Linked DNA regions of Oryzias latipes. The protein of the gene in region 1 interacts with the protein of each later gene in a pairwise test. Links are inferred from orthologs where the notes say so. Each region holds a gene or a part of one and is shown in the gene's direction. Other genes may lie near its edges. The genes, in order: cluap1 and cinp.

What was found.
Region 2: the proteins of cluap1 (region 1) and cinp interact in binary tests that used the Homo sapiens proteins (3 or more experiments, as listed by UniProt). The two-hybrid records come from large-scale screens. The link is inferred for Oryzias latipes from reciprocal best matches to the Homo sapiens genes CLUAP1 and CINP.

What each region holds. Positions count from the first base shown.
Region 1 is NC_019862.2:10,331,590-10,335,327, forward strand, and holds the end of cluap1 (clusterin-associated protein 1), read left to right. Parts: coding exon 1-124; intron 125-402; coding exon 403-475; intron 476-560; coding exon 561-671; intron 672-1,722; coding exon 1,723-1,772; intron 1,773-2,517; coding exon 2,518-2,694; 3' UTR 2,695-2,982; downstream 2,983-3,738. UniProt on the Homo sapiens protein: Required for cilia biogenesis. Appears to function within the multiple intraflagellar transport complex B (IFT-B). Key regulator of hedgehog signaling.
Region 2 is NC_019880.2:161,083-165,458, reverse strand, and holds the start of cinp (cyclin-dependent kinase 2-interacting protein), read left to right. Parts: upstream 1-1,338; 5' UTR 1,339-1,522; coding exon 1,523-1,556; intron 1,557-2,111; coding exon 2,112-2,262; intron 2,263-3,660; coding exon 3,661-3,790; intron 3,791-4,340; coding exon 4,341-4,376. UniProt on the Homo sapiens protein: Component of the DNA replication complex, which interacts with two kinases, CDK2 and CDC7, thereby providing a functional and physical link between CDK2 and CDC7 during firing of the origins of replication.

The sequences.
Region 1 (3,738 bases):
ATATGAGAAGATAGAAGAGGAGCTGAAGAAGCAATATGACCTTTACGAGAAGAAATTCCGAAACCTCAGCTTTCTGGAGTCTCAGCTGGAGGAACACCACAGACTAGAAAAGGAAAGGTTTGAGGTACGGATATAGAAGCACTGAGGGCTTCTCATTAGTTTCTTTTAAATTGAGTTTTTGATTAATAATAAACATTTCAAATATGTTTGCCTCAGTCAAATGTGACACTGTCTCTTTAATGCTAGAAAACCAGAATATATTTTTTTCTTCCATTACTTTTTTAGACAAAGATAATAAAAGCAAAAGATAACTGTTCTTTGAGTGCAGAAGGATCTGTTTTTTTCTGCAGAAAATGATTAAAAGTGCTTCACTTTCCATGGTCTGTGTCGCCTCTTTTGTAGGAAGCTGAAAACACTCTGAGGATAATGCAGCACAAACTGAGAGAGGAGAAACTTGACCTGATGAGGGGCTCCTGTGAGATCAAACACACACTTTAAGCAAAGTCCCATGTCCCAAATATCTTTAGCTCAAAGCAGTTTCTTGATTATTTCTTCTGAAGTGACAAATGAAGACTCTGACTTGGGCGTCATTGAGGATGAAGGTTCCGACAGCGACCTTGAAGAATCTCGGCCTTCAAAGCCGCGGCCCATGAGAAACGGCCTCATGACTGGTAAGCAGACAGCTTGAAGAAGAACATAATCTCTCAACGTGTACATAGTAAACCAACCTTAAAAAAGGAGAAAAAAGCGTTCATTTAGGTTTTCTCAAAGGAAAACTTGGATTCTAAAACTTGGTTGAACTGCTAAATGTCAAAGAGACTGTACCCCATGATCCCAGCTCCCACAGTGCAAAAAGTATACACCAACCACCAAAAGAGTACAGGTTGTCTGTTAATAACAAAGCCATTCGCACTCTATTGCCTTATATTTTATAGTTTTAACCTTTGATTGAGCTTAAGCGTAATTGAGCTTTGAAGCAGGAGAAGTGGAGCCTTTCAATTGCAGAAAAAAACTTTATGAAAACTAAGATGATGACATATATAAAGAGACCTTAGAACTGTGAGCAGAAAGGAAATTTTCTCTATTATTTTAAGCATTAAAAAAATCTCTGTTTAAAGTGTTCCTCTGTGCTTTACACAGAATGTGTTTAGAGATAGTTTTGACCATCTTTACCATTATCAGTTCACTTTTAAGTTGTGTCTGAATTCCTTCACTACTCACTATTTATTGCACTAAAGAGTGCGATAAATCACCATTTTGTGAGCTGTCCGAAAACAATTCCAAAATTCAGTGCCCTTTGGAAGTCTCTGCAAAAAACTAGTGTGCATCAATGCTCACTAGATTGGCAAATGTAGACCACAATGCATTGCATTTGAATGTTTTTTTTCATGTGAAAAAACATATTCAAATTCATTTTTTATAAATCATTCAAGTCTTTTTTAGCAGAACCCAGTGGATTCATAAATAGTATTTGTAAAGAAGAATTTCTGGAAATTGATGATGTCACATTTGCCGTTTAAAAGAAACACATGAGGATGATGTCCGAACTGTTTTTAAAATCCAGTCCCACACTATATGGATGCTATGGAGTAGTGAGGGAATTTGGACCTTGTCTTAAAGTTATTTAATCCCAAAATTTAAAGCTAAAACGTAAAAAAAAAAATCCAGAAAATCCATGAAACTCTGGTTCTCAAAAATGCTTTTTTTTTCTTTTCCAACAAGGGAGAGGAGGACTTTTTATTGGTAACATGCAGGGTGGTGACAGCGATGAGGTTAGTGATGTTCTTACTCACATTGCTTCCTTCATATTCATTCCATGGGCTGAGACTTCCAACATTCAAAGGATTTATCGCTTTTTGCCTTTTGCAACTTTTGATGGTAATTCAACTTTACCTGATGTCCAGTTATCCTGTGTTTTCTGCTGACCTCACCACTTAGTCTTTTTTCATTAATGTTTACTCATATCTCATAAGGTATTTTTACCAGTGTCCAAAACATCAGTCCCTCAGTTCAAAAAACACCCGAAAGGAAAGGTTTGTGCAAGACAAACGCCCACTTTATGTTTTTTTTCCAGCTCCTTGTGTATTTGAAGGAAAAATCAATCCTCAAAGTAAATGTTGGGAAATATTTATACTACTTACAGAAGTTAAAAATGTCAGTAATATTCATTGAACATGCTTTGCAGACAAGAGCTTGAATAAGAGAAAAGGTGCTGTCGCATTTTTTCCATAAAACATCAGAGTATCATCAGAACGAGCTGCACCAACACTTCTCACTTTTGAGCTAAAGGTGGATTTTTCCTTTAAATGACTTGAGTTTTCTGTTCACGCTAAAAGGCTAGTGTGTCCTGTCTAAAGTAGTGGAAACATTTGACCTGGTTATGTGTTTAGCTAAATAATCAAAGCATAGATTCCCATGTGATTCTACAGCCTGTGTGCAGAACCCGTCGAGTTTCTCCTGTTAGATTTGACTGCTCAGAACAGACTATTGCTCATGACTTTATCCCTGTTAATCTAGACTGATGACAGTGAAATCGATGTGGACGACGACGATGATGAGGAAGATGAGGAAAGAGAGGAGGAGAGCAAGGATTTGGAGGATGATAGTTTCGAAGGTCCCATGTCTAGAAACAACCGTCCTTCAATTGGAGCAGTGAGGCCTGCTCTGCTGGATGAAAGTGATAATGACTTTTAAGAAAAGAGCTCACCAAATTCTATAATTTGTCTGTTTCTAACTTGTATTTTAAGTTGGACCATGATATCAGCTTATCTCAAACGTATAAACATTGTTATTTACAGCATATATGTGGAGTGAAAATAGCCTCAACGGATTTGAGACTATTTTCTCTTCACTTTATGATGTAGCTCTTGTTTTTGACTGTATGAACTATCAAAATCCCTAACTGCATAGTAGTTTTGTTGTCTGTTTGTAATTCTTAAATTATTTTAAAGCCTTTTAATACATAAAAAAATAAAGAAATGGTTGATGTTTCCTTTTATGATGGAAAAGTAAAAAGCCTTTATCTAATTATTTGTTGTACTTATTATAGACATTGTCTATTTTTTTGTTTTGTGCCCACTACAATAGACACAGAAAGACTTAATTATTAATATTTCCAAAACGTTTTGACTTAAATCAGTGTGAATACAGTTTTTTTTTTTTTACAAATTTATTACCGATAAGTATAAACGCAATTACAAAACATGAATGAGTGCAAGTTTTTTTTTTCCCCAGATGCTTATTGTAAATATCAGGTAAAGTCCAAAGATATCAATATACATTGTACATTAATGCAAACTTATAAATAAAGAATGACATAAAATGAAATGCCAGTAAGAATAAATAAAAGTACAGAATGAGTGTGTAAAACAATGTTTGACATAACATTACAATTTTTTTTAAAACAATTTTATTTTGTAAAATAAAGGACGTTTTAAAACTTTTTGAAAAAGTAATTTATTTAGCAAAAATGTATTTAAAAAAAATAATTGAGATTTAGTTGGAAAATGTACATTTATACATGTAAAAATTAGAGTGGAAAAATTTGATTAAAACTTAACTCCTGTTGATGGAAACCAAACAATATACGTTTTAAGCAAAGAAAAGGGGACCATACATTTCTTTGTAACTAAAGATAATATCACAGAAAATTTGCCAAAAAGATTTTAGTGGGTTTAATTATACGTTTTTTGCAGGATAACATCGATTGCAGAAAAATATTTTTTTTGTTTGTTTTTT
Region 2 (4,376 bases), on another chromosome or scaffold:
GAATTAACGTCGCTAAGTTTTTTTAAAAACTTTATTGACAATTGCGGTATCATACATTAACAATGACATTAACGTTAACAACGAACAATAACAATGTAATGAATATTGCTTCGAAGATCAGTCACCATTGCCAAACATAATATATTAACATAGAAAATAAAGAATAGAGGGGAAAAAAGAAACAATGAACATAACACACAAATAAATAAAAACATAAGTAAAATAAAATAAAGGAACATAGAAAAAATCTAAATAGTCTAATACTAGTTAAGTTAGGGGTACTCGTGAAGTTTGTATTTCTGAACAAAACTAAGCAATTTCAAGCCATTCTTCTTTTTCATATAATGAAGTGATTGAAAGTAAAAACAGAGCTCTTTATTAAATGTTATAAAAAGTGGTTTGGTCTTCAAAACTTGACCTCACCAAGATGGCGGTGCTCTCCTCCTATGAGGAACCACGTGATGTCTCCTCTAGTGATATAACTCATTGGAAGGACCCTGAAGGACCCCGAGAACATCCGGCAACCCGAGAACATCCGGTACCCACACCGGAAGGGGGCGCTGTGGACCGTGCTAACCATAGAAGAAGAACGTAACCCTTCCGGGGGGGGGGGGGTCCAGATGATCGATATGGAAGGTGAGTGGAATCAGATCCAGCTTAGAGGACCAAACACGGAAGGACTGGCGTCTGCACGAGTCCTTTCTGGAAACGGTGGGAACATCCGGTCACGTGACTCGTCAACCCCAACTATGCAGAATTTGAGCGAGTAGTATCGTGAAAAAAGAACACTTCGTTCGTGAACGACAGGAACGGAAGAAAAGCGGCGGGGTTCCGGGGAGCAGAAGGGAGGGGGGGGGCTTTTCAACAGTCCAGAGGTGGATGGGGGGGGGGGGGGGGCAGCGGGTGGAAGAGGGTTTCAGGTGTGACCAAAGGTCAGGTGTAGCAGACTGGTGAGAGCCGCCAGAGAGAGGAGGAGGAGGAGGAGATGAAGATGCTGAGGTTCTCTCTGGAACCAGGATCATAGATGTTCTGGAGATGAAAGCAGGGATGATGATGATGATGATGATGAAAGGCTGGAGAGGCTGGAGACACCAGGAAAGAGGAGGTTCATGGATGAAGGAGGACATGAGGGAGGAGGCTGAGTCACTGCAGCGCCCCCTATAGGGAGCAGCAGATTAGTTTGACCTCCAGACTGTAAAGGTGGAGCTCATGTTCTGCTTTAGTCTTCATCTTTCATTCATGTTTGTTCCCTTTTGGGGTCATGGGGCTGCTGGAGCCTATCCTGGCCACTCGTGGGTGAAAGTGGGAGGCAACCTGGACAGGTGGGCAGTCCGTCGCAGGGCCACAATCACACACTCATGCACACTCACACCTAGGGACACTTTAGAGTCACCATGAAGCATTAGTCTGCCTCTCCTCCCTCATTAGATTGATCCAAACACCACCTTCACCTCTCCACCACATTCTTTCTACTGTATCCCACCCCCTTCAAGCTCCGCCTTCTTCAACTTTGCAGCACGATATGTCCCATGATGCTTCACTGTGGGAACCTGCTGGTGAGGCATGAAGTGGATCTTCACTGAAGGTCACCTTGTTAGTCGTTCCTGGTCGTCTTTTCATGATGTCGTTTTCTAACACGTAGTTTCTGCAGAGCGGCCGGATTTCATTAGAAATTCACCTCCGTGTTTTGGGGGGAACTTTTGGGGCAGAGTAAGCCTGCCCCCATTTCCCATCAGGCATCTGTTCACACTCTCTCCCACTAGCTTACAGTCCCTCAAACCCTGATATTAGTGGTGGAACAGAAATCTATCCAGGCGTACAGTTTAGATCCAGAAAACAAAGATGTTTATCTGCAGGTGGATTATCAGAAGGGGGCGGAGCCTCTGCCCGCCGTAGTGGCTTCCACATCACACTGACAAGCTTTTTGAATGACAATGATATGAATACAGAAATCCTCAGAAATGCAGTTTGAATCTTAAATTTCTTTAGAAATGTCCTCCATCATCAGAGAAAAGCCACAAGAACACGTTAAAACACCAAAAACAGCATTTTCCACGGAGCCACGCTTTGTAAGTCTGCAGGGTTCTCATGCCAGGGTGTTTGTTTGACAGGGAGATCATCAAACAGGAAGTGCCATGCAGTCACAGGAAGTGCACGAAAGGTCAGAGATAATGCTGCCGACTGGCACAACTTGATGCTGAGGTGGGACAAACTGAGCGAGGACGGCTTTGACGTCGCAACCAACATCGTCAACATCAAGAGGTGATTGTGTTTCTAGACCGTACGCCGTCACAGGAAGTACTGGTCCCTCCAAGATGACATCACTTCCTCTTTGTGCCAACATTGTAGCCATTGAGCAACTTTATTTAGATTTTCTTCCGTAATTCGTATGTTTGTTGTTCCAAGATGGTAAACTTTGTAATTCATTGTTAAATTATCAAAATAAATGTTAACATTTCCCGACAGCTCAGCCTCCTTTACGACACTCCCTCCCCCCCTCTCCTGGTCGGGCTGGGGAGGATCTGGTTCCCCTTATGAACACACGGTTCACTTTGGCAGCGTGCATGTATCTCCACCCCCACCTGCACGTGCACACTGCTCCCTGTCTGCCCCCCCCCCCCAACCCACAGTGTCTTGATGGACAGATGTCTTCAGATTTTCACCTTGGATGTAACATTTGTCTTTCCAGCAGATCTGGTAGAATTGTTACAGCTTAATATAATAACTTATTCAAATCAGTGCTTTTATCCCCCACTTTTTCACCTCTATTCCCTTTACTCCCCCCCCCCCCACACACACACTAAATGTAACTAATAAATAAAAAATAATAAAGTAGCAAAAAGGGGTTTATTCAAATCTACACTCTGGTTTCTGGAGTTCTATAACCTCTTTGTAGTAAATCCTGTCCAACAAAAAGGCCTTCAGCTCTGATCTGTTTGCTACGACGGAGTTTTAGGGCCACCAAAAAAAAAGTTAAATTACGACATTTTATCTCGTACATTTACGAGAAAAAAACTCGTAATTTTATTATTTATTTTTTTTGGTGGCCCTAATACTCCGTCATAGTTTGCTCAGCTGTTGGACAGAATAAGTTAAAAAAAAACAGCAGAGAAGTCCCCCCCCCCCCGATTACAGCGCCCAAAACTAAAAGACCGTCGCTGTAATGCAGCAGTGTACATGCATGTATGTATATACATGTATGTACACTGTATGTACATGTATTTACTCTTTACATACATGTATGTTGTTTTTTTCACAGACAATGAAAATATCAATGATGTTACTCAGAACTGATCTTTTTAATTATTTTTTTTAATTATTCAACATTGAATCACAAAGTTTACACCTCGGAAGAACAAACATACGAATTACAGAAGCATATCTAAATAATGTTGCTCAATGGCTACAATGTTGGCGCAAACAGGAAGTGACACAACGTTCCCACATGCGGGCACCAATCGGCGAGCCGTTCCAGATCAGGTAGCTACATATGACATCACAGGAAGTCCATGTCTGCGCGCCTTCAGCTCACTTCCTGTCCGTCTGCAGAGCGTTCTGCCCGACTACACCTGTTTGACCTGCAGGTGTCTCCTGCCACTCAGCGTGCACTAATGTCCTGCCCGTCACTCAGAAGGTTCTGACCCGTCCTGTGCTCCTCAGGTCTCAACATGAGCAGCTGCTGGTTCCTGAAGCTTCATCATCGTCTTCCTCCTCAGCGACCCTGCAGCCCTCAGGAGCTGCAGAGCTGCAGGCTCAGTGCCTCAAACTGCTGGACATCGTGGAGAAAATGGTGAGTTCCTTCAGACCTGAAGGCACTGAATAAAAGAGGAGGAATGCATCGGAACCAGAACTGGACCTGCTGTGACCGACCAGAACATACAGACCCAAAGCCACACCTCTGGCTCCTCCCTGCTGCTCCAAATTTAGGAGCATTTGGAGCCATAGTGGTGTCCGAGAGTGTTCGTTTAGGGGGAGACGTAGCGACCCTCCGCCAGTAGGGCGTTCGGCGGCGTGCTGTACCATGGAGAGGCTTTTCTTCACGTGGGCGTGGTCTGACGCTCAGAAATGTCATTTAACGATTTTATAAAGTTATCAAAGCGACATCATGTTTTCCGAATGCTGGCAGCTACACGCTGACGGCGACTATTCGTGACGTCGTCTAACTGTAGCAACGTCCAGATTTGACGACTCTATTTTCCAGAACTCTCCGCCTGCAGGGCTAAATGGAGGGAGAAGCCCGAGGCAAAGAATCAGGATTCTTTGTTCCTGTCGTCTGACACCCCTCCCTCAGTTCTGGACTGGGAATCTAACGTGCGTCTTTGATGTCCTCTTTTGCTCAGACTGCCATAGTGGCCAGGATGGAGCGCCTGGCGGCA